4 linked regions of the Anolis sagrei genome follow. The protein of the gene in region 2 purifies or fractionates together with the protein of the main gene of each other region. This does not show direct contact. Links are inferred from orthologs where the notes say so. Each region holds a gene or a part of one and is shown on either strand. Other genes may lie near its edges. The genes, in order: SOX9, FBXW7, FMR1 and MED13.

Region 1 (7,074 bases), on a different chromosome or scaffold from region 2:
TTTCCAGGTGCTTTCCTAAACTATCTCGAAGGGCCCTTCCACAGAACCATATAACCCAGAATATCAAGGCAGAAAATCCCACAACATCTGCTTTGAACTGAGTTATCTGAGACCACACCGCCATATATCCAAGTTCAAAACAGACAATGGGGGATTTCATTCAGCTGCGTGGAAAACGCCATGTTCATTGTTATTTTTAAAGCATCTTTTGAGGAAGGGGCCAGCCAAGCAAGGCCAGGGCCCGCCATCTTGATCAGCTGCTTCGAACCACCCCTGGAGTCCGACTTGAAAGCGCATGCGCGGAGAAGGCTCTTCCCAAGGTGATGCCGTCGGGAGGGCAGCGCGCCGTTCCCTAGAACGCTCGGGCTCTCGGAGGGAAAGGCGGGAAGCTAGACTCGCGCATGCGCACGGCTTTCTCTCCCTTCACTACAAAGGCAACAGCAAAAGCAAGGCGATGTCTGCCACGCGCGCCCGTTCATGAACCAAATAGCATTTCCTGGAAGTGTTTGGGTGCATCTACACTCTAGAACAGGCATGGGCAAATTTCGGCCTTCCAGATGTTTTGGACTTCAACTCCCACCATTGCTAACAGCCTCAGGCCCCTTCCTTTTCCCCCTCAGCCGCTAAGGAAGGGGCCTGAGGCTGTTAGGAATGGTGGGAGTTGAAGTCCAAAACATCTGGAGGGCCCAGTTTGGCCAGACCTGCTGTAGAATGATAAACATCATTCGACGCCACTTTTAACTCCCATTGCTCAAAGTTACGGAACCAAGAGAGTTGTAGTTTGACACAGTCTTCTCCACCAAATCGTGCCCGTTCCTCACCAAACTACAAATCCCAGAGTTCCATAACATTGAGCCAGGACTGTCAAAGTGGTCTCCAATAGCATCCCTTTGAGATCTTTATCCAGAAAGTTGAGAGTGAAGCTTTATATCTTCACTCCCGGTTGGTGTAACTTTGCGGCTGGTGACAAGGGAGAGGGGTCCCCACCGGGAATGCCGAAATCTGTGCTAAACCTCCGCGCGTGCCAGCTCACATGCGCGGATGCCGGCGCCTTCGCCCCCGGCCTGGACGGCGCGCGGCGCTCCGGCCCGCTTCTGGCGCCCGTTTCTGAGCCTATGCTGCCCCCTCTGGACGGATGCGGGAATGGCAGGAAAGGTGACCTATTGAGAGAGAGAGAGAGAGGGGTAACTGTGAAAAAGTGCCAAGGCGAGGCTGCGAGGAGCGAGTGGAAAAAGCGCACGGGAAGCAAAGCAAAACAAAGCCGAGCCGTGGCGTGGCGTCTGTCTTCCTAGGCAAGGCGACATGACAGCTAATAATTTAAAGGGGTTTGCAGGGCGGGAAGCGGACTCCGTCCTTGCCAAAGCGGGGCCGTGCGTGGGACGGGCGAGGCAACCCACGCGTCACGTCTCCAGTCCAAAGGAAAGAGGGATCATCACAAGACTGAATCCATCCCGAGCGATGGCCATTTCTCTCCCGCCCCCGCCACCCTTTGGCCACAGCTAACCAAGGCCCCATCTAGGACGCCATAAGTCAGAAGACCCATATCATGCACTGAACTTCATTATATGAGTCTATACCAGGCCTAGGCAAAACTTCAGCTCTCCGGGTGTTTGGACTTCAATTCCCACCATTCCCAACAACCTCAGGAGGGAAGGGCCTGGGGCTGTTAGGAATTGTGGGAGTGAAGTCCAAAGCGCCTGGAGGGCTGAAGTTTGTCGAGGCCTAGTCTTTACTGACTATATAATGCATTTTCAAGCTGCATGATATGGCAGTGAAGACGGCCTTGGTTACTTGTTAAACCTGTCATTTTATCTAAAGGTTATATTCATTGGCATTCCTTCTCATCCCCAAGTTTAAAACAATGCTGCCCAGGAGATGTTGAAAAGTCCCAAAATCTGTAGAATTAGAATTTAAAATAATACACACCAAGCCTGACCCCTAGCCATATACATTTCTGAGAGTGACCCTGAAAAATACTAATATTAATACTACTAATGACACAGCAATAGAAGAAAATGTATTCCCCCTGACTGACAAGGACAAGAGCTTGGCTATTTAAGGAACATTGGCCTTGGCACAGTTTCCCAATAAACCAAATTTGCAGGTTTGGGCTTTTATTTTGCGCATTGAGGTCATGTGTTTTATCAAATTGTGATATCAACGTTTTTAGACACGTTTTTTTCCCAAAGGGACTCGAAATACTATGGTGAATTTATTGGGAAATTTGTCCTTATGGGTTCAGTGGAGCTCATGCCCAAATTTGAAGTCAGGATGGAATTCTAACCTAAAAATACCTGACAGCCATTGTTGACATGCTAAGTCGAAACATCACGTTTCAATATTGGGTACTGGAGAAGGACATATCCTGAGGGGAAGGGTATGGCAGTCATTGAAAAATAAAGTAGCAATCCATCGTGACCTTTGTCCCTTACATTCAAAAGATGAGCATCATAAGATGGATCTACACTATTGTTCAAACTGAATTATATGTCAGAGTAGATCCAACTTCATTTGTGAAGATATATAAGGCATTCTGGACCCTAAGGGCCCTTCCACACAGCTCCATATCCCAGAATATCAAGGCATAAAATCCCACATTATCTGAGTGGGGACTCAGATAACCCAGTTCAAAGGAGATATTGTGGGATTTTCTGCCTTGATATTCTGGGATATAGGGCTGTGTGAAAGGGCCCTAGAACTGTTTTATGTTCACAACATGGGCATTTTAGTTTGCTTTGAAAGGAGGTGGCTTGAGGATATATAACACTATATTACAAAAATCAGGAAATGTGCTGTTCCTAGTTTGAAATTTCCTGTTTAATGGTGTGGTACTTACTTTGAAAATAGCTGTTACGCTCCAGAAACTTCATTTTTGTGGCTGCCACAAACTATGTTGAATTGGATCAGACTCAATGAGATATCCATTGAAAAACTATTGTAAAATGTGCTGCCAGGTGTCCCTCAAAGACAAAGTTTTTTTGCAGTTTAGTAGACTGCTTTCATGTTTTTATGATAGAACCAAATAGGAAATGACATTGCATTGATGTATTTTATGTTGTTGAATATGCAGCATTAAATATTGCTATTCTGTACACCGCTCTGAGTCTCCTGCAAGGGTGAGAAGAGCGGGATATAAATATGGGAAATCAATCAATTTATAACCTAAGAACATAAATGGTGTTACATAGTGTAATCTAAGGGCCCTTCCACACAGCCCTATATCCCAGAATATCAAGGCAGAACATCCCACATTATCTGAGTGTGGACTCAGATAACTCAGTTCAAAGCAGATATTGTGGGATTTTCTGCCTTGATATTCTGGGTTATATGGCTGTGTGGAAGGGCCCTGGAATATATGGCAGTGTGGACTCAGATAACCCAGTTCAAAGCAGATATTGTGGGATTATTCTGCCTTGATATTCTGGGATGTATGGCTGTGTGGAAGGATCCTAAGGCATTCTGGACCGCCAAATGTTTCTTTCCTTGTGTTGCCTTCTTCTTGGCATTTTTCAGGATGGCAAGAGAAGTGGGATGAGCAAAATCAAAACAAACCCTCCCATAGAATAACAATAGGTGATTCACTCTTTTCTGCCTTTCCCTCCTCCTTTTCAAGAGACTGGCTTTGAAAAGGATGGAGGGAAAGACAGAAAAGAGCAGAAAAGTTGTTTTCTCTTCCTTCCCCCTTTCTGGGAAAAAAGGCAATATTGGCGAAGGTGACATGGCTTCAATGAGATTGGGTGCCCTTTTCTCTTTGCTCTGAAAGCATCAAGAGAAATCTGCTTAGATCAACATAGGAAAGAAAGAGAAATGGACCCGGGAGGGACAAGAAGCGTTTGGAAGTCCAACGCGCGACAGACTTTCTCTTTCCCCCTCCTTTCTCTCTCTCTCTCTTTCTCGCTCCCTCCCTTTTTTGAGCTCATTTCTCCCCTCCTTCCCAAACTTTTGAAGGGATGGGAGGGAGGGGGGAGTTAGAAATTAAAAAAAACTTTCCAGCCAATCCTGGCCTTGCCAGCCTTAGAGAAGCAGGGCCGCCATTGGCTGGGATTTTCTAAGGTGAAATAGCCGAGGAGAGTATTTATTAAAGAGAGAGGCGAGAGACGGAGGAGAGCCGAGCTCGGAACCCAGTGGTTGGTTGGAAGAGAAGTGGTGTGAAGGGAGAGAAGAAGAGAGGAGGAGGAGGAGGAGGAAGAGGAAAAATAGCCCTACCTTTCTCCCCCTTCACTCCAAACTTGCGAGAAGGAACTTTGGGAAAGGAGTGAAGAGAAAACGAGAGAGGAGAGCCGCGGGAATCAGAATAATTAACCCAGCCCCCTTCTCCTTTCCTGCAAAAGGGGGAAAAAAGAGAGAGAGACTCGGGTTGAGGGAACCCTTTCGAAGAGAGGGAGAAAACGATCACTCCAGGCTTGGAGGGACTTTGGGGAAAGGGCGGAGAGAGGGGAAAGAGAGGGGATTCGATGCCCGCCTCTTGAGCTCCGGAGTGGGCCGAGTCTTCCCCGCTCGACTGGCTCTCTCCTCGCGCCTTCTTCCCATGCCGTGCCGTGCCGGCTGCAGCAACTAAAGGCGCCCTCTTCACCCCTTCATTCTCCCTTTTTGTTTTGTCTCCTTGCTCCCCTTCGCCTCCACCCCCTCTCCCTCTCCTCCTCTGCCTGCCTGCCTGCCTCCCTCTCTCTCCTCGCATGAATCTCCTGGACCCCTTCCTCAAGATGTCCGACGAGCAGGAGAAGGCGCTCTCGGCGGGCGCGCCCAGCCCGGCCCTCTCCGACGAGGAGGCCTCTTCCTCGGGCTCGCCCTGCCCCTCGGGGTCCGGCTCCGACGCCGAGGGCAGCGGGAGCAGTAGCCACGGGGGCCGCCCTCCCCGCCTCGCCGACGGAGGCGCCTTCGCCAAGAGCGGCGACGCCGAGATGAAGAAGGAGGCCGGCGTTGGAGGAGGGGGCGGCGGCGTTGGAGGCGGCGAGGAGGACAAGTTCCCCGTCTGCATCCGGGAGGCCGTCTCGCAGGTGCTGAAGGGCTACGACTGGACCCTGGTGCCCATGCCCGTCCGCGTCAACGGCGCCAGCAAGAACAAGCCCCACGTCAAGCGGCCCATGAACGCCTTCATGGTCTGGGCCCAGGCCGCCCGGAGGAAGCTGGCCGACCAGTACCCGCACCTCCACAACGCCGAGCTCAGCAAGACCCTGGGCAAGCTCTGGAGGTGAGCAAGCGCCGGGCGGAGTGGGCTCTTTCCCCCCTTCCCCCCTCCCTCCCTGTAGTTTTAAGGGGTCTTTAGCCTTCCCCCTGCTAAAGAAAACTGGGGTCTCACCAAAGTACAACTCACTCCCTCCCTGTAGTTTTAGGGGGTCTTTAGCCTTCCCTGCTAAAGAAGGCTGGTGGTGTCTCATCAAATTGCAACTCCCAGGGTTCCATAGCATTGAGCCATGGCAGTTAAAGTGAGGTCAAACTGTATTCATTCTACACTGTAGATGCACCCAGTAGCCCAGGGATGGAGATGGGAGAGGGAGAGAGATCCAGGATTGCCTGGAAGGGGAGGGGGAAGAACCCTCTAGAGCAGGCATGGGCAAACTCCGGCCTTCCAACTCCCACAATTCCCACCAGTAGACTAGGGACGGAGATTAGAGAGTGGCCCAGGATTGCTTGGATAGAGGTGGGGAGAGAAGGGGAAACCCTCTAGAGCAGGATGGGCAAACTCCAGCCCTATGGGTGTTTTGGGCTTCAGCTCCCATAATTCCCTCCAGTAGACCAGGGATGGAGATGGCAGTGGGAGAGACAGAGGGCAGGGGGGAGGGAAGGGGAAGCCCTCTAGAGCAAGTCTGGGAAAACTCTGGCCAGGTGTTTTGGACTTCAGCTCCCACAATTCCTCTGGCCCCTTCCTTCTCCCTTTCTCTTTCCCACTTAAGCAGCTGAGGAGGAAAAGAAAGGGGCATGAGTCTGTTAGGAATGGTGGAAGTTGAAGTCCAAAACACTTGCCCAGGCCTGCTCTAGAGGCATCCCATGCTGCAGAATTGACATGCTTTCATACTGATTTCAAGTGGCATGGCTTATGGAGTGCAGCAAGCTCTTCAGCAAACTCTGGAGGCTAGCCTTTGGGGGGAGGAAGGAGAGCAGGGAGAGGGAAGAGCACCTACACTGTAGAATTCACATGCTTTCACAGCACTTTAGCTGCCTCAGCAAACTGGGGGCAGAGGGGAGGGCTGTGGATCCATAGTCTAGGATTAACATGCTTTGACACTGCTTTAACTGCCTCAGCAAACTGGGGGTGTGGCTGTGCACCCACACTTTAGAATTAACACACTTTGACACCGCTTTAATTGCCCCAGCAAACTGGGGTGGAGTGGGAAGGGGAGGAGCACTCTAGGGCACACCATTCTCATGCATTCTATAGCAGAGCTTTCCAAACATGTTTTAGGCATGCATCATTTCATGACACAGTAGTGCAGGTTTACTAGAAAGCTGGAGGGTAAACCCACCTCTCCTAAAAGATAAGGACACATACATATATTGTAGTAATAAACTGAATGGGGACACCACATATCTAATGGAAACCTTTCATTTATATCTTTTAAACATATATGAATTGGTGCCTATTTTACATAGACTCAGAGATTTCCCTTACATTTGTGCAGCTCACCTAAATGCTGCAGCCAACACACGAACATGTCGTGACACACAGTTTGGAAAGCTCTGATCTAGAATTACTTGTTGCTATGGCTCATAGAGCTCAGCCAACTCTGGGGGTGAGATTGGAGGAGGAATGAGAGGAGGAGGGAGAGGGAATGCATCCACACTGAGGAGCCCTCCGGGGTTGTGCATCCATACTGTAGAATTGACATACTTTCACACTACTTGTATTCACTATGGCCATGATTATGACCTTATCTTCCAATTGGCTCTGCTAGTGAGGGGACCTAGGAATCCAGTCCCAGCAACTTAAAAAGGGCTACACATAGAAGAAACAGTTTGACACCACTTGAACTGACATGTTATGGAAACATGGAGTCTTTAGCCTTCCCTGCTAAAGAAGGCTGGTGTCTCACCCAATTATAACTCTCAGGATTCCATAGCATTGAGCCATGGCTG
Region 2 (7,384 bases):
CTACTTTCTGTTGCTGAGAAAAGGAAAGGGGGGGGAGAGAAAGAGACAGACTCTGGTAACAAATACTATGTCCGAGCTCATTTGATTGGCTCTCTGGACCAGTTCTCTTCTCATTAAACTACCCAACAAAGCCATTTAAAGAACCCTCAAGACACACCAATGGTTTCCGCCTGACCCCAAAGAGACAAGGGAAGGGAGGGGAAAGAGAGAGAGAGATTTCCCGGCTGAAAGGGAGGGTCACTTAGCGCAGCAGACCGTGCAGAGAACCCTGCAACGTGAGGCGCATATGAAACAAGAGGCAGAGGCCCCCATCTACACTGACCATTTAATGCAATCCGAAGCTAACTTCAAACTGCAAGGGATAGGCAAGAAACTTCCATGTAAGCACGTGAAAGAAAACCCTTCATGTGGTTGGTGGAATCACTATCCAGGCCCCAAACGGGTTCCCGGATTTTCTATGGAATAATCTGCACAGTGAAACCACTTTCTTCTACATTCATTTGAAATGGCATTAAAGGGTAAATGGGGACTTTAGTCTATTTTGCATGAAGGGGTTAGAAAACTGTATGTATCAAAGATTTGAAATTGCTGGATAAATTAAACTCCAAACAAACACACTAAGAGTTCTTGCAGAGTGCTCCTCTTATTCAGAACTTTACCTGCATGATTCTTCATACAAGAGGTCAGAGAAAACACCCATTTAACTTTAGAACACACATTTAAGTGAATAAAATGGAAGCTGAAACTGCAAGGACCTGGAGAACTTCCAGTCTTCCATCTGAAGTGCTTAAGGTTGCTTAGCAGGGCAGCCCCCTCCTCTCCCTACCCCACAAAAGAGGAGGAAGACAAAAATGGTGGGGGAGGGGAGAGAGGAAAAAAGAGAGGAAGAGAAGAAAGAGGAGAAGACAGAAGAGAAGAAAGCGAAAGAATGGGGTTTTAATCTATTGAATGTTTTTATTTTTTTGTTAGATGCTAATTAAGTTTGATGTGGGTTTTTTATAATTTTTGATTATGCTCATGTTGGTACTGATTATTTTTATGGTATGTTACGTCTTTGCTTTTTATTTGTTGTTCGCCGCTTTGAGTCCCAATTTGGGAGCAAAGCAGGATAGAAATAAATAATAATAAAGAAGAGGAAGAGAATGAAGAATAAGAGGAGAATAAAGAGAAAAAGGATGGGGAGGAAGGAAGTGAAGGGGGAGGAGGTAGAGGAAGAGAAAAAAGAAGAGGAAGAAATGGAGGTAGAGTAGAAGAAAGAGAAAAAGGACAAGAAGAAAGAGGAGGAGGAAGAAGTGGAAAAAAATGAGAAAGAAAATGAAGAGGGAGGAGGAAGAGAAGAAAGAAGAATGAAGAAGAGGAGAATAAAGAGAAAAAAGAGGGGAGGAAGGAAATGATGGGGAGGAGGTAGAGGAAGAGAAGAAAGATGGTGAAGAGGAAGAGAAGGAGGAAGAGAAAAAAGAAGAGAAAGAAAATGAAGGGGGGAGGTAGAATAGAAGAAAGAAAAAGGACAAGGAGAAAAAGAGGAGGAGGAAAAGAAAAAAGACGAGAAAGAAAATGAAGAGGGAGGAGGAAGAGAAGAAAGAAGAATGAAGAAGAGGAGAATAAAGAGAAAAAGGATGGGGAGGAAGGAAATGATGGGGGAGGGGGTAGAGGAAGAGAAGAAAGATGGTGAAGAAGAAGAGAAGGAGGAAGAGAAAAAGTAGAGGAAGAAAATGAAGGGGGAGGTAGAGTAGAAGAAAGAGAAAAGGGACGAAAAGAAAGAGGAGGAGGAAAAAAGATGAGAGAAAATGAAGGGGGGGGAGGAAGCGAAAGAAGAAAAATTAGAAACAAAATGAAGGGGGGATGCTAAGGAGAAGCAAGAGAAAAGGGATGAGGAGGAGGAAAACGAGGAAGAGAAGAAATAAGAGGAGGGGTGAAAAAAGAGGAGTGAGAAAATGAAGGAGGAGGGAGAAAGAAGGGAAAGGGAAAGAGGATAAGAAAGAAGGGAAAGGGGAAGAGGATAAGAAAAAAGAGAACGAGGAAGAAAATGAAGGGGGTAGAGGAAGAGAAGAGAAAAGGAACGAGAAGAAGAGGAGGAAGACAAAAAAGACGAGGAGAATGAAAATGATGGAAGGGGGTAGAGGAGAAAGAGAAGGAAGAAGGAAGAGGAAGAGAAGAAAGAGGAGGAAGAAAGAAAAAGAGGAAGAGAGAAAAACGACGACGAGGAAGAGAATGAAGGGGAGGAGGTAGAGGAAGAGAAGAAAGAAGGGGAGGAGGAAGAGGAGGAGGAAAAGGAAGAGGAGGAGGCGAGTGTCCACCCCACGTGCACCTCCTGGAAGGTCGAAAACAGCCACCGGGAACACTCCCCTTCCCTTCCACATCCCTTTCTCAGAATTACTCACTTCGGGAGCGAGAGCAGCAGCAGCAGCAGCAGGACCGGCGACGCCCGGCGGTCTTTCCTGCTGGGCCCGAGAAGGAGCTTCACGCCCAGACCTGCGGGGATCCGGAGGCTTGGAGGCGCCCAGGACGGGTCCCTCGGAGGCCCTCCTCCTCCTCCTGTTCGGCTTCCCTGGCTGGGCGTGTGGCCGCCGCCGCCTCCTGTTCCCACGCCGCCTGGGCCGCCCGCGCCCGCCCCCTCTGCCCCGAGAGCGCTGCCCGCCGCTTCCCCCCGCGGGAGGCGGAGGAGGAGGCGGCGGTGGCGGCGAGAGGGTCGGGCCGCGGCCCCCGCCCGGCTCTGGCTCTCATAAACCCTCTCCTCGGGCGCTGCTAGGGCCCCAGCCAGGCGGAGGCAGCGCGGAAGCGGAGCCCGGCGGCGGCGGCTAGGCTCAGCGGCGCTCCCGCCCGGCTCCCAGGCATGAGGGTGACTGGGTCTCGCCCGAAGAGAGGCAGCGAGGAAGGAAGGAAGCAAGGAAGCCGGCGGGTGGCTCCGGAGACGCTCGCTTTCTCTCCCTCGCGCACCACAGAGACACAGGCAGCGAGGGCGCTGAGGGAGGGGAAAAGACAAGGCACGGCGCGGGGAAATGACGCCAGCCGTAACCAGGCAACCGCAGCCCTCTCCGCCCGCCTCCTGTTTCCGTCGCGAGGCGGTGACGTCGAGGGTTTTGCGACGGCTGTGCAGCGTCTCTATGGAATGTATGGAGAAGAGATGAAAACGCCGCCGTGAAGCGATTGGAAGAGGCCAACGCGGCGAGCCAATCCCGTCGCAAGGACTTGCGCAGGCGCAGTCGGGGATTTGGACTCTGGAAATATTAACCCCTTCCGCGCCTGCGCGTTCCCCTCGGTAGGCGAACGCGGTTGATTCGATTATAGCGATTCCCAGAATAGTCCTCCAGGTCGGTGGACTTCAACTCCCAGAAGCCTCAGCTGCCTTGGTCGATGATCAGGGATTCTGGGGGATGAAGTTCAGAATTCCTGGAAGGCTAGAGTTTAGGAAATACACTTTCCTAGGATCCCCCCCCCCCCTTAATTCGATCAGACAATTAAGGCCTCTTCCACACAACAAGTTGAATAGGTTGGGTGAGAGTATACAGCCCTGATGAACGCCTTTCCCAATCTTGAACCAGTCTGTTGTTCCATGGTCAGTTCGTACTGTTGCTACTTGGTCATCAAACATTCCTCAGGAGACAGGGAGGGATAGTCATTCTTAAAAGTACATTTCCAAGCTCTCTAATAATGCTCTTTTCTCATGCTGTTCTTTTCAGTCACACCATATGTTCTTCAAAGGGCCCTTCCACACAGCCCTATATCCCAGAATATCAAGGCACAATATCTGCTTTGAGCTGGGTTATCTGAGTCCACACTCAGATAGTGTGGAATTTTATGCCTTAATATTCTGAGATATAGGGCTGTGTGGAAGGGCCCTTAGAAGAACATATGATGTGGCTGAAGAGAACAGCATGAGAAAAGAGCATTATTAGAGAACTTGGGAAGTTACTTTTAAAAATGACTGTCCCTCCCTGTCTCCTGAAGAATCTGTATAAGGACCAAGTAGCAACAGTACGAACTGACCATGGAACAACAGATTGGGAAAGGCGTACGGCAGGGTTGTATACTCTCACCCAACCTATTCAACTTGCATGCAGAACACATCATGCAATGTGCAGGGCTTGAAGAATGCAAGGCTGGGGTTAAAATTGCTGGAAGAAGCATTAACTACCTTAGATATGCAGATGACACCACTTTGATGGCTGAAAGCGTGGAGGAGTTGAGCCTTCTAACCAAGGTGAAATAAGAAAGTGCAAAAGCTTAGTTGCAGTTAAACATTAAAAAAAACAAGATTATGGCAACAAGACTGATTGATAACTGGCAAATAGAGGGAGAAAACGTGGAGGCAGTGAAAGACTTTGTATTTCTAGGGGCAAAGATTACTACAGACGCAGAGTGCTGCCAGGAGAACAGAAGACCTTTATTTCTTGGAAGGAGAGCAATGACCAATCTCAATAAAATAGTGAAGAGTAGAGACATCACACTGGCAACAAAGGTCTGCATAGTTAAAGCAATGATAGTAACCTACAGATGTGAGAGTTAGACCATAAGGAAGGCCGAGCAAAGGAAGATTGATGCTTTTGAACTGTGGTGTTAGAGGAAAGTTCTGAGAGTGCCTTGGACCGCAAGAAGATCCAACCAGTCCATAATTCAGGAAATAAAACCCCTCTGTTCACTGGAGAGAAGGATATTAGAGGCAAACATGAAGTATTTTGGCCACATCATGAGAAGACAGGAAAACTTAGAGAAGACAATGATGCTGGAGAAAATGGAAGGCAAAAGGAAGAGTAGCCAACCAAGGGTAAGATGGATGGCTGGTATCCTTGAAGTGACTGGCTTGACTCTGAAGGAGCTGGGGGTTGTGACAGCCGAGAGGGGGTTCTGCCATGGGCTGGTTCATAAGGTCACAAAGAGTCGGAAGCAATTGAACAAATAAACAACAACAATCCCTCACTGAGCAGTGGTGGGATGATGGCTACATAGAATTAATGCAGTTTGAGACCTTTTTTGTTTCCATAGGTCAATACTATGGGATCATGGGAGTTGTAGTTTTCAAAGTAATTTGGAAAGGATCCCCTCGGGGAGCTAGGGTGGGATATAATTAAAGTTATTTATTTATTACTTGTGCCTTTTTGCTAACAGAAAGCATTACACCCCCCCAGAGGTCAGACTTAGTTGATCTATTCCAGTTCCCTATTCCTCTCTTATTGAACTCCTCCTTTCTCTACAGACACTAGAGGCTTGGGGCATTGTCTGGTAATCCTAGGCCAAGCAATCAATAAAAAGACATTCTTAGCACCTGCATTTAGCAGTATTTTATACCATTAGTCCAAAGGACAACAGAAGCTTTTGGCCAGCCTAAGCTTCACAAGGAAGATTAAGACAGTTTATAACCATCACTTTGCACCAGAGGCAAGAGACTTTCAAAGATTCCAGAAAGATGACTGCAACCAGCAAAATCTCCTTTTGTAATGTATTATGTTACCTTAAACTTAATCACACTAGAGAAAAAATCCACTTAAAATCCTGTTTTTGCCTCCTGCAGAATTCTGAGGTTTGTAGTTTAGGTAAAGTCTCCTCCTTATTATAGTCCTGGGTGGAGTTAATCCTTTATTCATCTTGTTTCAGTAAACTCTTTTGATTATCTTTCCACCTTGCCTAAAGTTCCTCTGCTAAGGGTCTTAATCTTAAAAGAAGGTATCAGCTAACCCCCGAGTAAAGTCAGACAATCTAGTTTTCCCAAATGTTCGGACGTACGATCACAAGGGGAATACTCACTTGGCCAAAGATTAAGCAGGAGATAACCAAGAAAATGCTCCTTATCACTGTCTATGGTTCTTGGAAAGTGCTCTTTTCATCTTGGCAGGTCTGTCTCCCAATTTCAAATATGATCTATTCTAAAACATTACAGAGCCCAGCCAAAAAGGAAAATACCCATGTAATACTGCATGCACCTGTCAGTTAGTGTGAAAGAGATCCTAACAGCTGGGATTTCTGGGAGTTGTAGGCCAAAACACGTGGGGACCCACAGGTTGAGAAGTGCTGGCCTGCTGCTTGGCTCCACAGTAAAGTTTGCCCAATGGAGAGTCATCCTGTGGAGAGGAGAATGTGTTCTCCAAGCACTTATGGAAACTGATTTGTTCCTTCTGCAAAAATGATATACTGTTGTGTCACAGCTCAGCATTTCTGCATGTATTTTTAGACCCTTGGCCTGTTGGGACCAATAATCACACCAAAATGTAAAACTAAGCAAAAATTAGAGTTTATAAAATTTAGCTGAAGACATTACACCAGTAAGGAGAGAAGGATAAAGTAGGTAGAACATAAAGATGGCTGTGGACCTTTGAGGATAACTCTGACTAAAATTCCAAATTTTCAGTTCTTAGGTGAGCTGTTTTTGTTCTGTGGCTGTGAACCAGTTCTGTTTAAAGTGGTATGCAAAGTTATATTTTGGTTGTTTCTGGGTATATTTGACCTGTTGGTTACAAAAATAACACCAGTTTCCTCCCATCCACTCTAGTTTTTGAGATACATAATATATGCCATCTACCAGTCACCATCTGCTCATAGATGGAAAATCACTATAACCGTATCAAAGAAAATAGAGTTGATGTGATCTATCCAATGTAATTTGTTTAATCAGTGCCCAAAATAACCCCAGATGCATGTCTAAAAACTAAGACACCAAGAAAAGTTTTTATTGATCTGTTTATTTTTATAGAAGGGAATCTTGTAGAATCTTATACCTGAGAAGCACTGGGGCATTGCAGGACACCAAAATACCCGGGAGTTACTTTTAGACCATCCTCCAACTTACAAGAAGCACTGTCTAATTATCAAGCAAAAAGTGGTTGCTAGAAATAATATCACACGCAAGCTGACTGGCACAACCTAGTGATCACAACCAGACACATTGAAGACATCTGCCCTTGCACTTTGCTACTCTGCTGCTGAATATGCATGCCCAGTGCGGAATACATCTCACCATGTTAAAACAGTGGATGTGGCTCTCAATGAGACATGCAGCATTATCATAGGATGTCTACGCCCTACACCGCTAGAAAAATTACAATGTTTAGCTGGCATTGCATCACCTGACATCAATCTGGAACTAGCAGCCAGTAATGAAAGAACCAAGGCATTGACATCTCAGGCCCATCCTCTGTTCAGATATCAGCCAGCATATCAATGTCTTAAGTCAAGAAATAGTTGCAGAGCTACTCACAGGAACACCTCAGCAAGCGAGAGTCCAAAAGTGGCAGGTTAAAACCCGGAACCTCAATCAGTGGCTGATATCAGATAAGAAACTCCCTCCTGGGCACACAGAAGACTGGGCGACTTGGAAGGTGCTGGACAGACTGTGCTCTGGCACAATGAGATGCTGAGCCACTCTTAAGAAATGAGGCTATGAAGTGGAATC
Region 3 (7,477 bases), on a different chromosome or scaffold from region 2:
TGCCATTACCTATGTGGAAACTGCTTTGAGTCCCCTTCGGGGTGAGAAAAGCGGTATACAAATATCGTAAACAAATATTGTAAATAAATATATAAATATAGAAAATAAAAAAAATCAAGGTGATCAATTGCAGCATCCAACAAACAGCATCAAACAGACAAGAGCTCTTTCTCCCACCGTGAGCACTGTTCTACACGTATATAAACCCCAGTAGGGTAGTTTCCAACACACCTCACAACCTCTGAGGATGCTTGCCATAGATGCAGGTGAAACATCAGGAGATAATGCTTCTAGATCAGTGTTTCTCAACCTTCCTAATGCCGCGACCCCTTAATACAGTTCCTCATGTTGTGGTGACCCCCAACCATAAAATTATTTTAGTTGCTACTTCGTAAGTGTAATGTTGCTACTGTTATGAATCATAACGTAAATATCTGATATGCAGGATGTATTTTCATTCTCTGGACCAAATTTGGCACAAATACCTGATACGGCCACATTAGAATACTGGTGGGTTTAGGGGGGATTGATTGATTTTGTCATTTGAGAGTTGTAGTTGCTGGGATTTATAGTTCACCTACCATCAAAGAGCATTCTGAACTCCACCAATGATTGAATTGTACTTGGCACACAGAACTCCCATGACCAACAGACAATACTGGAAAGATTTGGTGGGTATAGACCTTGAGTTTGGGAGTTGTATTTCACCTACATCCAAAGAACACAAACAATGATGGATCTGGACCAAATTTGGCACAGATGCTCAATATGCCCATATGTGAACACTAGTGGAGTTTGGGAAAAGTAAGCCTTGACATTTGGGAGTTGTAGTTGCAGGGATTTATAATTTATTTATTATTTATTTATTTCGGTTGCTTCTACCCCGCCCTTCTCACCCCGAAGGGGACTCAGGGCGGCTTACAAAAGCAAGGCACAATTCGATGCCCACATCACATAACAGCAATAAAACAAATAACATCAATTAACAATTAAACAACAATTCTTGCATTATAACCTTTAAACCAATACAAACCAATTTCTCCTCATTGACGGTCAGTGTTCGCTACCTCATAGTTCAATTTCCAATTCCACAATTGTCAGTCCTGTCAGTCCTATTCGTCTGGTTGTCCTTATCTAGTTGTCAGATTGCCCAAAGGCCTGGTCCTATAACCACGTCTTTACCTTCCTCCTGAAGGAGAGGAGGGATGTTGATGCCCTAATTTCCCCCGGGAGTGAGTTCCACAGGTGGGGGGCCACCACTAAGAAGGCCCTGCTCCTCGTCCCCACCAGCCTCACTTGGGATAGCGGTGGGGTCAAGAGCAGAGCTTCCCCAGATGATCTCAAATTCCGGGGTGGGACGTAGAGGGAGATACGTTCAGACAGATACACTGGACCGGAACCATACAGGGTTTTGTAGGGGAAAACCAGCACCTTGAATTGTGCTCGGAACTGAACCGGCAGCCAGTGGAGCTGAAACAGCAGGGGGGTGGTGTGCTCCCTGTATGTCGCTCCGGTGAGCAATCTGGCTGCCGCTCGCTGGACCAGTTGAAGTTTCTGAACAGTCTTCAAGGGCAATCTCACGTAGAGTGCGTTGCAGTAGTCTATTCAGGATGTAACAGGAGCGTGGACCACTTAAACCAAAGAGCATTCTGAACATCACCAACGATAGAATTGGGACAAACCTCCCACACAGAACCCTCAGAAAATACTATGTTTTCTCATGGTCTTTGGAGACCCCTCTGGGGGTCCCGACCCCCAGGTTGAGAACCACTGTTCTAGGTGGAGGCGAAACGTCAGGAGAGAATGCTTCTAGAACATGGCCATATAGCCCGACAAACCTACAATCCCGCCTTCTTGTTAATGCTTCCCGGTAAGGACTTTTTGAAGGAAGGAAGGAAGGGAGGGGGGGCGGCGTACCTTGTAGAAGGCCCCGTTGGAGCCGCGCACCTCGACCACGAGCTCCTCCATGTCGTCGTCGTCCTCTTCGGCGGCGGTGGAGGCGGAGGAAGCGGCGGCGGCGGAGAAGGAGGAGGAAGGGGGCCCGCCGCCGCCCCCTCCGCCCCCGCGGCCTAGCCGCCCCCCTGCCGCCGCCGTCGTGATGGCCGCCCCGCCGCCCTTCTTGGGCCCGGCCTCGGCGTCCCTCAGGTGGCGGCGGCGCAGCGCGGGACGGGGCGCGGGAGGCGGCGGCGGCTGCGGCGGAGGAAGCGGCGGCTCCTTCCTCTTGGCCTCCTCCTCGGCGCGGCTGGGCGTCGTGGTGGTCGCCGTGGCCCGCGGAGGCCCAGGGAGCGCGGCGGGAAAACGCGGCCGAGGCCTGGAAGGAGGGCGGAGAGAGGCTGGCGGGCGGCGGCGAGGAAGCAGGAGGAAGAGGAGGAGGAGGAGGCGGAGCGCCGCTGTGTCCACATGAAAGGCCTGGCGCCCTCACGTGAGGCGGCGGCGGCGGAGGAGAAGGCCGTAATGGCGGGCGAGCGGCGGTGGGCGGGGCCGGACAGCGCGCGCCTGCGCAGTCGCCGCAACAGCCGGGTCAACCCTGGTCGCTCACTCCCTCCCGCTCCCGCCTGGCGCTAAATCTCGCGAGAGTATACCCACAGTGTCTATATTCCTCCGCGTAATCTCGCGCGAATGGGTGACAGGATGAGGGGGGAGTCTACGCGCGTGCGCAGTCGCCCCAACAGACTAGTCTCTCGCTAACTCCCTCCCGTCTGGCTCTAAGTATCGCGAGAGCATACACAGTGTCTATCTTTCCTCGTCCTCTCCTCCCCGTAATCTCGCGCGAATAGGCGACAGAATGAGGGGGGGAGTTTACGCGCCTGCGCAGTCGCCCCAACAGATAAGTCTATCGCTATCTCCCTCCCGTCTGGCTCTAAGAATCGCGAGAGTATACACAGTGTCTATCCTTCTTCGTTCTCTCCTCCCCGTAATCTCGCGCGAATAGGTGACAGAATGAGTGGGGCAGTCTGACTACGCGCCTGCGCAGTCGCCGCAACAGATGGGTTAGCTCTGATCTCTCACGCCCTCCCGTTTGGCGCTAAGTATCGCGATAGTATACCCACAGTGTTCATACTCCCTGCCGTCCCTTCCGCGTAATCTCGCGCGAATAGGTGACAGAATGAAGGAGGGAGTCTACGCGCCTCCTTCTCGTTTGGCGCTAAGTCTCGCGAGAGTATACCCACAGCATCTATACTCTCTGCCCTCCGCTCGCGCGAATAGGCAACAGAATGAAAGGGGGGGGGAGTCTACGCGCCTGCGTAATCGCCCGAACTGACTGGTCTCTCGCTCACTACCTCCCTCCCGTCTGGCGGTAAATATCGCGAGAGTATACACAGTATCTATCCTTCCTCGTCCTCTCCTCCCCGTAATCTCGCGCGAATAGGTGACAGAATGAGTGGGGCAGTCTGAATACGCGCCTGCGCAGTAGCCGCAACAGACGGGTTAGCTCTGGTCTCTCCCTCCCGTAATCTCGCGCGAATAGGTGACAGAATGAAGTGGGGAGTCTACACGCCTACTTCCCGTCTGGCGCTAAGTCTCGCGAGAGTATACCCACAGCGTCTATACTCCCTGCCCTCCCCGCTCACTACCTCCCGTCTGGCTCTAAGTATCGCGAGAGTATACACAGTGTCTATCCTTTCTCGTCCTGTCCTCCTCGTAATCTCGCGCGAATAGGCGACAGAATGAGGGGGGGTCTACGCGCCTGCGCAGTCGCCCCAACCGACTGGTCTCTCGCTCACTACCGCCCTCCCGTCTGGCGCTATATATCGCGAGAGTTAAAACAGTCTATCCTTCCCCGTCCTCTCCTCCTCGTGATCTCGCGCGAAGAGGTGACAGAATGGAGGGAGTAGGGAATCGTGCGTCTGCGCAGTCAGGCTCACTCGCTCGGTACCGCGAGAGTATATTCACAGTATGTATACGCCCCTCCGCGTAATCTCGCGCGACGGGGTGACATAATAGGGGAGTCCGCCAGCCCGCGCCTGCGCAGTCGCTCTAAAAGCCGGGTCAACCCTGGTCACCCGCTCACACTCTCGCTCCCGTTGGCTCTAAGTATCGCGAGACACACACAGTGTATATACTCCGTCGCCTTCCCCTCCGCGTAATCTCGCGTGAAGAGGTGACAGAATCGGGGAGAATCCCTATGTTCGCTAAATAACGCGAGACTCTGTCGCCCAGGCATGGACTGCAGCCCAGCGCGGAGTGAGGCGCTTCCACCAAGTTCGAGGAGGAAGGAGCAGGCGCATGCGCACTGGTGGCCCTTTGAGTTTTAGTGTCTGCACAGGGCATGGTCCAACTTGAGCCTTCCAGGAGTGTTGAACTCCAACTCCCACCATTCCTAACAGCCTCAGGCCCCTTCATAGAATCATAGAATCAAAGCAGGAATTAGGGGTCTTTGCCAGGAGGCAGAAACCAATTAGACTCATCAAAGAGTTCTTTTTCCCTGGCGAGACAGAGAAGCACCCAATCCCTGATTTTTCCCAGTAAAAGGTCTCACCAAGTTGAAAGAAGTGCCACCGAGGTTTATTAGCGATTCAGCTGAAAAGGATGCAGAGCGGCAATCATTCGCCAAGCAGAGCATGTGGTTACAGAAGTAATGGCCATTTTTGTAGAAAACTAGCTGACCCTGCCACGCATTGCTGTGGCCCAGTTTGGTGATCTGGAAAATAAAGTAATGAGTCATTGGTTCTTTTGATTTCTAATATATGTAATGTCTTTCTGCTTGTGGGTAAACAGTATTTCTTCTTGTTTCTTTGTCAGTGTTGATGTGGAGATTGTCTGGTTTGCCTACTCTGGAACATGCAACATATTATTGTCCTTCTTTAGGGGTCCCTTTCACATCTGTCTTTCACCTGACTGCACAGACTGACGCACGATTCCCGACTCCCTCCATTCTGTCACCTCTTCGCACGAGATTACGAGGAGGAGAGGACGAGGAAGGATAGATACACTGTAAACTCTTGCGATATATAGCGCCAGACGGGAGGGAGGTAGTGAGCGAGAGACCAGTCAGTTGGGGCGACTGCGCAGGCGCGTAGACTCCCCCCCCTTCATTCTGTCGCCTATTCGCGCGAGATCTTTCACATCTATCTTTCACATCGTATCTCTGCCTATGAACCCACCAGGACTCTAAGATCTTCTGGGGAGGCCCTGCTCTCGATCCCGCCTGCATCGCAAGCACGGCTGGCGGGGATGAGGGACTGGGCCTTCTCTGTGGTGGCCCCTCGGCTGTGGAACACCCTTCCCATGGACATTAGATCAGCCCCTTCGTTAATGGTGTTTCGAAGAAAACTAAAAACCTGGCTGTTTGAACAGGCGTTCGGATAAACAATGCAATGAATATGATGAATATAGGAAACGGTATTATGGATGACGATTTGGATCACGATTCTAGTTACGAGACGCTAATGTGTTGTTATTGATGTGTCATTATTTGTATATTATGCTGTTAATGGTTTTTAAATATTGTATGTGTTGGATTGACTTTTTGCTCTTGTTGTGAACCGCGTTGAGTCGCCTACGGGCTGAGAAACTGCGGTATACAAGCAAAGTAAATAAATAAATCTACGATACTATATCTCTGTGTGTGTGAATCATATCTATCTATCTCTATCTATCTATGGCTGGTTGGTCTTTGTCAGGAGGACTTTGATTACGTTTTCTTGAGTTCTGTGTGCCAAATTTGGTTCGATTCCATCGTTGATGGAGTTCAGAATGCGCTTTCATTGTGGGTGAACTATAAATCCCAACACCTACAACTCCCAAATTACAAAATCATAATTTTTTGAGTGATGGTCACTCCTTATGTTGTGAGACCTTTTGTTGCCAAATTTGGAGTGAATTTGTTCATTGGTTCTTTTGTTTTTAAGGTACTCCTTATGCACAGAGCATTTATATATAGATAGATGCATCTATCCATATGTATGGGAGGATGGCTCTTTGTCAGGAGGACTGTGATTGCGTTATCTTGCCCTGGTGAAGGGAGTTGTAGTGGATGGGGTAAAGTTTTTTCTGTTGGTCATGAGGGTTCTGTGTGGGAAGTTTGCCCCCATTCTGTCGTTTGTGGGGTTCAGAATGCTCTTTGATTGTAGGTGAACACTGAATCCCTGGGACTACAACTCCCAAATGTTAAGGTGTATTTTCCCCAAAGTCTATCTGTTTTCATATTCGTGCCAAGTGTGGTCCAGATCCATCATTGCTGGAGTCCACAGTGTTCTCTGGATGTAGGTGTACTACAATTCCGAAACGAAAGGTCAATGCCCACCAAACCCTTCCAGTATTATCTGTTGCTCATGGGAGTTCAGTGTGCCAAGTGTGGTTGAAAAACGGTAAATCCCAGAACAGAGGAGTACATTGTTCTAAAAGTGAAAAAGCTTGGTTCAATTCATTCCTCCGGGACTGGACACAGAGGGTGGAGTGGCCAGGCCAAAGCTCTGAAAGCTCCTACCTTTGCTGTGGAGTTCCCCAGGGTGCTATCCTCTCGCCCCTGTTATTTAACATCTACATCTGACCACTTGCTGGACTGGTGCGGAGCTTTGGCATAGAGTGCTACCAGTATGCAGATGATACCCAGCTACTCTTGCGTCTCGAACCTGGAACAACTGCGATTCCTGAGAACTTTAAGCTGTGTTTGGAAGCAGTGATGAGTTGGCTACGAGCAAGCAGACTAAAAGTCAATCCTGCAAAAACTGAGATACTCTGGCCGGCCAGCCACCAGAATTAACCCAGTCTCTGCCTGATTTCGATGGGGAAGCTCTGGTTCCGTCTGCCACTGTTAAAAGCCTTGGGGTTGTGTTGGACTCATAGCTGACGATGGAGGCCCAGATCACTGCCATAAGTAAGCAGGGCTTTTTTCATCTTCGCCAGGCAAGGAAATTGGCATCCTACCTTTCGGTAGAAGCATTGACAACAGTAATCCACGCAACAGTCACCACGAGGTTGGACTATTGCAATGCCTTATATGCTGGCCTTCCGAAGTCAACGACCCAGAAGATTCGGATGGTCCAAAATGTGGCAGCCAGGCTGCTAGCAGGATCATCTATAAGATCTCATATTACACCGATTCTGCAACAACTGCATTGACTACCAATAGAACAACAGATCTCTTACAAGATACTGATCCTGACATTGAGAGCTCAAAATGGCCAAGGACCTTTATATCTTAGGGACCGCCTCATTCCTTTTCCCCATCAGTGGTCACCTCGATCCACCCAGGAAAATCTCTTCTACATACCGGGTCCTAGGGAGGCACATTTGGAAACTACAAGGCATAGAGCTTTTTCGATCAATGCTCCAATTCTGTGGAACTCATTGCCTTCATATATTAGAGCAATGTCGGAGTTGCGACCTTTTGCAAAGGCGCTCAAGACTTGGCTGTTTGGCTGTGCATTTAAGTAACCGGATCAAATTTTGCCATAGTCACTGCTGAATGTTTTTATGTTGAATTTTTTATGTTGAATTTTTTTATATGAATGTTTTTATATTTAATGTTTTT
Region 4 (7,166 bases), on a different chromosome or scaffold from region 2:
CGTGACAGGGCGCTCCTCCAATGGGCGGCGCGGGAAGGCGAAGGCAGAAAAGGAGGGCAGCCAATGGGAGCGCGATTTCCCCCTCTCGACGACGCTGGCCTGCTGTTTGGCCGCCATTAGAGGAGAAAGAGACAAGAGGGAGGAGGAGGAGGGAGAGGAGGAGGAGGGAGAGAGAGAGAGAGAGGGCAACATCACATCATCCTCATCATCCTCGGATCCAGGCCTTGTTTCTGAGGAGGAGGGAGGAGAGTAAGTCCTTGGGAAGGGATTGAGAAGAGGGGAAGGAGGGGAGATTGATTCATAACCCCCCCCCCTCACCCTTGTTTTTGGTTTGTCAACCTTTTCAGCTGCCGAAGGAAGAATGGGAGAGACTCGCTGAGGAGAAGGAGGAGAAGGAGGAGAAGCCACCTCTCAGGATGCCGAGGCTGGGCAGCCGCAAGCAGAGGCACCGCTGAGGAGAGGGGAAAAGGAGGAAGGCCCTTCTTTCTTTCTGCCTACCTGTCAGGGGAGAGCGGCCTGGCTTCCTGTCAGGAAGAAGAGAGGGAGCACAGGCCCCAAAGAAGCCCTTCAGGAGAGGAAAGCGAGCAGGAGAGAGAGACTCCTCAGAGACACACCTATAGACACTGATACTGAGGCACAAACACCTTCACAATTCCACACCATTTTGGGACAGCGGGGTGTGGAATTCCCTTCTCCTCCTGTGTTTTCTTGGAAACAGGGAGAGAACACAGGCCTGAAAGAATCCCTTCAGGAGAGGAAGGAAAGAAGGAAGGGAGCTTCCCTGGAGAGGCACCTAAACATCTTCAAGAACCCATAATTTCACCCCATTTTGGGACATCGGGGTGTGGAATTATCCTCTCACCTCCTGTGTTTTCTTGGAAACAGGGCCTGAAAGAATCTCTTCAGGAGAGGAAGGAAGAGAGCTTCTCCAGAGAGGCACCTAAACATCTTCAAGAACCCTTTCCTCTCACAATTCTACACCATTTTGGGACATTGCGGTGTGGAATTCCCTTCTTCCCTCTGCTTTGGAAAAAGACAAGCTTTTAACTTTCTCACTTGGGAAACAGGAAGAGAACACAGGCCTGAAAGAATTTCTTCAGGAGAGGAAAGAAGGAAAGAAGAGGGCTTCCCTAGAGAGGCACCTATAGACCTAAACATCTTCAAGAACTCTATAGATCTAAACATCTTCAAGAAGCCTTTCCTTCCATAACTTCACCCCATTTTGGGACATCGGGGTGTGGAATTACCCTCTCACCTCCTGTGTTTTCTTGGAAACAGGGAGAGAAAGGATTCCTTCAGGAGAGGAAGGAAGAGAGCTTCCCTAGAGAGGAACCTAAACATCTTCAAGAACTCTTTCCTTCCATAACTTCACCCCATTTTGGGACATCGGGGTGTGGAATTACCCTCTCACATCCTGTGTTTTCTTGGAAACAGGGAGAGAACACAGGCCTGAAAGGATCTCTCCAGAAGAGGAAGGAAGGGAGCTTCCCTAGAGAGGCACCTAAACATCTTCAAGAACCCTTTCCTCCCACAATTTCACCCCATTTCGGGACATCGGAGTGTGGAATTCCCTTCTCTCCTCCTGTGTTTTCTTGGAAACGGAGAGGACACAGGCCTGAAAGGATCCCTCCACAAGAGGAAGGAAGGGAGCTCACCTAAACATCTTCAAGAACTCTTTCCTTCCATAATTTCACCCCATTTTGGGACATCGCTGTGTGGAATTCCCTTCTTCCCTCTGCTCTGGAAAAAAAGACAAGCTTTTAACTTTCTCACTTGAGAAACCTCCTCTTGGAAACAGGAAGAGAACACAGGCCTGAAAGAATTTCTTCAGGGGAGGAAAGAAGGAAGGAAGAGGGCTTCCCTAGAGAGGCACCTATAGACCTAAACATCTTCAAGAACCCTTTCCTCCCACAATTTCACAACATTTCGATACATCGGGGTGTGGAATTATCTTCTCGCCTCCTGTGTTTTCTTGGAAACAGGAAGAGAACACGGGCCCAAAGGAATCCCTTCAGGAGAGGAAAGAAGGGAGCTTCTCTAGAGAGGCACCTAAACATCTTCAAGAACCCTTTCCTCCCACAATTTCACACCATTTTGATACATCGAGGTGTGGAATTACCTTCTTCTGCTCTTGAAAGAGACAAGCTCCTCGTTCTGATTTCTTGAACTTTCTCGCCTTTTCTTGGAAACAGGAAGAGGACACAGGCCTGAAAGAATCCCTTCAGGAGAAGAGAAGGAAAGGAAGAAATCTTCCCTAGAGAGGCACCTATAGACCTAAACATCTTCAAGAAAGCTTTCCTTCCACAATTCCACAGCATTTTGATACATCGGGGTGTGGAATTACCTTCTCCCTCCGCTCTAGAACTTTCTCACCCCCTGTGTTTTCTTGGAAACAGGAAGAGAACACAGACCTGAAGTAATCCCTTCAGGAGAGGAAGGAAGGAAAGAAGGAAGAGGGCTTCCATAGAGAGGCACCTATAGACATAAACGTCTTCAAGAACCCTTTCCTTCCACAATTCCACCTCATTTTGATCTCTTGAAATAGAATTATCTTCTCTAGAAAGGAAAAAAGAGACAAGCTCCTCGTTCCGGTTTGTTTTGAACTTTCTCACTTGGAAAACCACCTCTTGGGAACAAGAAGAGAATACAGGCCCAAAAGAATCCCTTTTAGGAGAGGAAAGAAGGAAGGGAGCTTCCATAGAGAGGCACCTAGAGACATTTATATTTATACATAAACATCCTTCCACAATTCCACGCCATTTTGATCTATTGAAATAGAATTATCTTCTCTCTCTAGAAAGGAAAAGAGACAAGCTCCTTGCTCCTGTTTGTCTAACTTTCTCACCTCCTCTCTTTTCTCGTGAGTCCATTTAAAGAAGGAGAAGGGAATATAAGGACTCTTTGGTGGTTCTTTCAACAACAAAAAGCATCCAGAGACTTCTGGCCTAGCAGATTGACCCAACGGATTCGTCTTGATCTTCTATTTCTTTCATTCTCCGCGCCTTTTTAAATTATTGTCATTATTATAATTATTGGAAAATACCCCTATTTTGGTTCAGGGGAAGAAAAAAGCAGACATCAGAAGGAAGTGAACAAGGGAGAAGGGATTTTGTCATTTCTGCCGAGGAATTAATTTTGGGATTTTGAGGAAAAGGTGTTTTGTTTTTTTCTCTTCTTCCCTTCGAAAGAAGTTCTTTCTCCCCATTTTTTCCTGTCAAGGAAAAAGGACCCTCCAGTGTGGACTTGACAAGAGGGGAGAAACAAAACTTTTCTTTTGGCTGTTTTTCCTTTCGAAAGGTTCTGTCAACAACCTGAAGCAGAAGTTTTGTTCAACTACAGTGTCAGAAAAATCAGAACTTTTTCTTTTTGGAGGAGTGTTTGCATCTTTTCAGTGTCTCTGGGGGGTCTTGAAGTTCAGGCCTTGCACTTCCCAAACCCAAAAGCAAACCTTTCTTCCTTGGAATTCTCTTCTTTTGGGTCAGACCCTCTTCCTTTCGCACCGCTGCATCAGGAAACTCCCACCCTACAGACCCCTCTGGATTGGGCCACAAGTTTGAATTATTGGAAACTTTGGAAGACACTTTACGCAAACAGGAATTCCCCACCTTCTGGGAGAAGGAAAAAAATTAAATTTGGGGCAAAGGGGAACGTTTGATCCACATTCAACCCATCGAGGAGATACCAGACTAGAAAGTTGTCCCCTTCTCATTGACTTAACTGAAAATATGTCTATGTCTGGCTGAGGAGAGAGACGAGAAGAAGGGGAGGGGGAGAAAAAAGAACAATCTGCTGCATTTCTTCCTCTCCAAGATGAAAAACCTCAAGATGACCATTTGATCCCATATATTGCATTTCTGCTCGTGAGGAGGAAAAAGAGACAGAGATTCCTGGATTTATTTCCCACCCGCCTTTCAATCGCTGGATTATTTGTGTCTTTCTTTCTCTCTTTCTCTCTCCCCCCCCCCTTTTTCCCATTTCTGCCCCCCTCCTTTTCGCCTTGAAGTAACCCCAGCCTCCTTTCTCTAACCTCCTCTCTATTTATCTCTTTGGGGTTCGGAAATTGAGCTCCTCAGAGGAAGAAGATTCCTTTCTTCCTCTCCTTTCCCCTCCCTGGTATTTGATATCATTAAATAATAAATAGATATTATTATTATTATTATTTATCCCGATCTATTTGTGTGCTGTGGCGCACACGCCACCGTGCAACCCCCTCCGAAAACTCCTCCCTGGGCTCTTCTTGTGGTTGTGTGGGTTTTAAAAAAGGAAAAAAAGGGGGCCCTTTCCCTTGCTGGCTGGTGTGTGCGAGAGTGTGCTGTGTGTCCCTCCCTTCTCAGGCTGTGTGCCTTCCTCTCTCTCTCTCTCTCGCCCTGTCTGTCTCTTTTCTTTCTTGTCGGAGGCTTGTGGGATAATGGCGTGTGGGTTGTGGCTGTGAGGATGAGTTCTTGCTTCGTACCCAACGGGGCCAGCCTGGAGGATTGCCATTCCAACCTATTCTGTCTGGTGAGTCGGTGTGTGGCTCTTGGGAGCCTTTCGGGGTGGGTTTTGGGGGGCGATTTGAATCAACCCAAAGGGTGGATGATGGTGGAGGTTGAAGGAAGGGGGGGAAGAGGAGGAGAAGGAGGAGGAAAGGTTTTACGGATCAGAGATAAACCTTGGTGGACGGGAAAGTCTGGGGTGGGAGGGAGAAGAAGGGAGAGGAGAGCTCACCAGCAGAAGGGAGGAAAGGAAAGGAAAGCAAGGGAAGGAGGGGAGTGAATAGGAGAGCGAGCGAGCAGCCATTTTTAGCATTGCTCCTGCTGGAGTAGGCCTTGCCAGACATTTTTCCAGCTCCCTCTGTGTACACACATGTCTAGATCCACACACGCACATATTTGTGTACATGTACACCAGCCCTTGTTTTTCTTTCCCTGATTGGTCTTCGCTTTGCCACCATTCCTCGGATTTATATTTTTGCCTCCTTCTCTCTCTCCTTTTGTTGTTTTTGTTCTCGATTCTCCTCCTAACTTCCATTTTTTTTCCACGCTCCTTCACCTCTTTCATTTCTGGCCTGTCTTCCCTAATACAAAGATTTCGGGTGTGTCTTTTTGATAGTGACTTTTTCCTCAGCTTTTTCACCCCCTCCCCCCAAAAAAAACCCACATACACATACCAAAAAAAATACACACCAAAATGCATTTTCTGTTTACTAGGCCAACTTTGCTTGATTCCTTAGAAATAACAAGGAAAACCAAACTGTGAAAGTGACACAAGAGGTCTTGGGGGGTTGTCGGCAAAATCCCTTCACTGGAATTTGGAGATTTATTGTCGAAGGCTTTCACGGCTGGGATCGCTGGGTTGTTGTGAGTTTTCCTGGCTGTATGGCCATGTTCCAGAAGCATTCTCTCCTGAAGAAGCATTTTCCTAGTTTCGAACAGCTTGATGCTAATCAAGGTGGCCTTTGGTAACAGTCACACTTGCCTCCCACCCTGGACATCATTCCACAGATATATCAACCTCACTTGCCTAGTTTCCAACAGACCTCAAAACGTCTGCCATAGATGTGGGTGAAGCGTCAGGAGAGAATGCTTCTGGAACATGGCCAGACAGCCTGGAAAACTCACAACAATCCAATTTGGAGATTTTGCTTTTTCGACTTACAGATGAATGGGAGTAGCAACCCTTTCTTTTACATTGCACCCTTGTCTTGATGTCTTTATTTGTTGGTTTGTTTATTGTTGTTAGGTGAGCCAGTTCAGTCTTAATTGAGTTAGGATCCAGTTGAACTTCCTGCCCAGTCTAGGTTTTGGTGACCTCTGTCTGATCCCCCCCTTAATGCAAATTGGTAGCAGATTTTGACTGGTTGGTGTTATTTAATCCTGGAAGTGGAATATAATGAAATTGATCTGCTTATGTGTAGTTATGGGTATGTTCTGCAGGATCACAAAACTGACCTACTCCCATGGGGTTGCCTATGTGTTTAATGTATTATGTCCCCCAGCCCCCCCCCCTTTCCAAAAACATAAACCGTTGCAGATAGAGCTAGTGTAGTGGGAGCTTCCTTATTGGAGTTAAATAAGCAGGAAATCCTTCATTGTCTGCAAAAGAAGTGGAGTATGCACTTCCCCAATCGCAGGGTGGTGAAGTTGAACCCTGGACTGAGCCCTGCTTGCAACTTGCTGCTCCCTTTGCTTTACAAACAAACCAAAACCGAGACTGGTTGAAACATTACCATTAGTATTTGTGATTTTCTCAAAAAGTTGTGTTTCTGGATGGAGGAGAGCAAGAAATATTTGTTTAAGCTGTCTTGAATGACTTGGGTTGTAGTTAAAATTACCTAAAGTTGTCCCAACAGGGTGTTTTTGAAAACTAGATCTTTCTTAGAGATTCTCTGGAAGGGAATTTTATTTTTATTGTGTGTGTGTGTGTGTGTGTGTGTCAGGAGCGACTTGAGAAACTGCAAGTCGTTTCTGGTGTGAGAGAATTGGCTGTTTGCAAGGATGTTGCCCAGATGTTTTGATGTTAAGTTTTAATAACTTCTTGCATTGGTTTTTAGCTTCGATTTCAAAATTTGTTGGAGTTTGAAGTCTACAACCCTTTGGGTTGGATGTGAATTATGGGACTGGGTCCCAATATTGTGATCTGGATTTGTATATACACTTTGTGCTGGTCATGAACTGGAATAAAGTTTTGATTGATTGACCATCCTTGTGGGAGGCTTCTCTCATGTCCCTGCATGGGGAGCTGGAGCTGACAGAGGGAGCTCATCTGCATTCTCCCCGGATTCGAACCTCCAACCTGTCGGTCTTCAGTCCTGCCGGCGCATGGGTTTAACCCATTGCACCACCAGAAATAAGGACAGTTGTTATTTTTTTCAGTGGTTGTCATTTTTCAGCAGAATTCTTGACTCCAAAAATTATTTGCTTCAGGGTTGTTGTTATTACTTCTGACAGTAAACGACCTATCTGAAGGTGGGTCAGTTAATGTTGAGGAATGTATTAGACTCTCAGAATACACATTTTCAATATGGGGGTATTCAACAGGATGCCAAAAAGTAGTGATGTGCTCTTTGATGCTTTGTAATTCTAGAATGGACTTGAATAATCAAAACCACTGGTTTGAATGGAATAGAGGTTGAGGCTACAGTTCACAGACATTTGTCATAAGAGAAACAAATTATTTTGTGACCT

Evidence for each region.
Region 1: the proteins of FBXW7 (region 2) and SOX9 purify together in Homo sapiens (affinity purification with western blotting; 4 studies listed by BioGRID and IntAct, with this or other methods). This does not show direct contact. The link is inferred for Anolis sagrei from reciprocal best matches to the Homo sapiens genes FBXW7 and SOX9.
Region 3: the proteins of FBXW7 (region 2) and FMR1 purify together in Homo sapiens (affinity purification with mass spectrometry, with the first as the bait; 3 studies listed by BioGRID). This does not show direct contact. The link is inferred for Anolis sagrei from reciprocal best matches to the Homo sapiens genes FBXW7 and FMR1.
Region 4: the proteins of FBXW7 (region 2) and MED13 purify together in Homo sapiens (affinity purification with mass spectrometry; 5 studies listed by BioGRID and IntAct, with this or other methods). This does not show direct contact. The link is inferred for Anolis sagrei from reciprocal best matches to the Homo sapiens genes FBXW7 and MED13.

Annotation. Positions count from the first base shown.
Region 1 is NC_090022.1:134,370,109-134,377,182, reverse strand, and holds the start of SOX9 (transcription factor SOX-9), read left to right. Parts: upstream 1-4,071; 5' UTR 4,072-4,676; coding exon 4,677-5,191; intron 5,192-7,074. UniProt on the Homo sapiens protein: Transcription factor that plays a key role in chondrocytes differentiation and skeletal development.
Region 2 is NC_090025.1:50,919,883-50,927,266, forward strand, and holds the start of FBXW7 (F-box/WD repeat-containing protein 7), read right to left. Parts: upstream 3,004-7,384; 5' UTR 2,382-3,003; intron 1-2,381. UniProt on the Homo sapiens protein: Substrate recognition component of a SCF (SKP1-CUL1-F-box protein) E3 ubiquitin-protein ligase complex which mediates the ubiquitination and subsequent proteasomal degradation of target proteins.
Region 3 is NC_090030.1:30,073,894-30,081,370, reverse strand, and holds the start of FMR1 (fragile X messenger ribonucleoprotein 1), read right to left. Parts: upstream 3,015-7,477; 5' UTR 1,969-3,014; coding exon 1,918-1,968; intron 1-1,917.
Region 4 is NC_090031.1:31,483,906-31,491,071, reverse strand, and holds the start of MED13 (mediator of RNA polymerase II transcription subunit 13), read left to right. Parts: upstream 1-4,144; 5' UTR 4,145-4,434; coding exon 4,435-4,500; intron 4,501-7,166. UniProt on the Homo sapiens protein: Component of the Mediator complex, a coactivator involved in the regulated transcription of nearly all RNA polymerase II-dependent genes.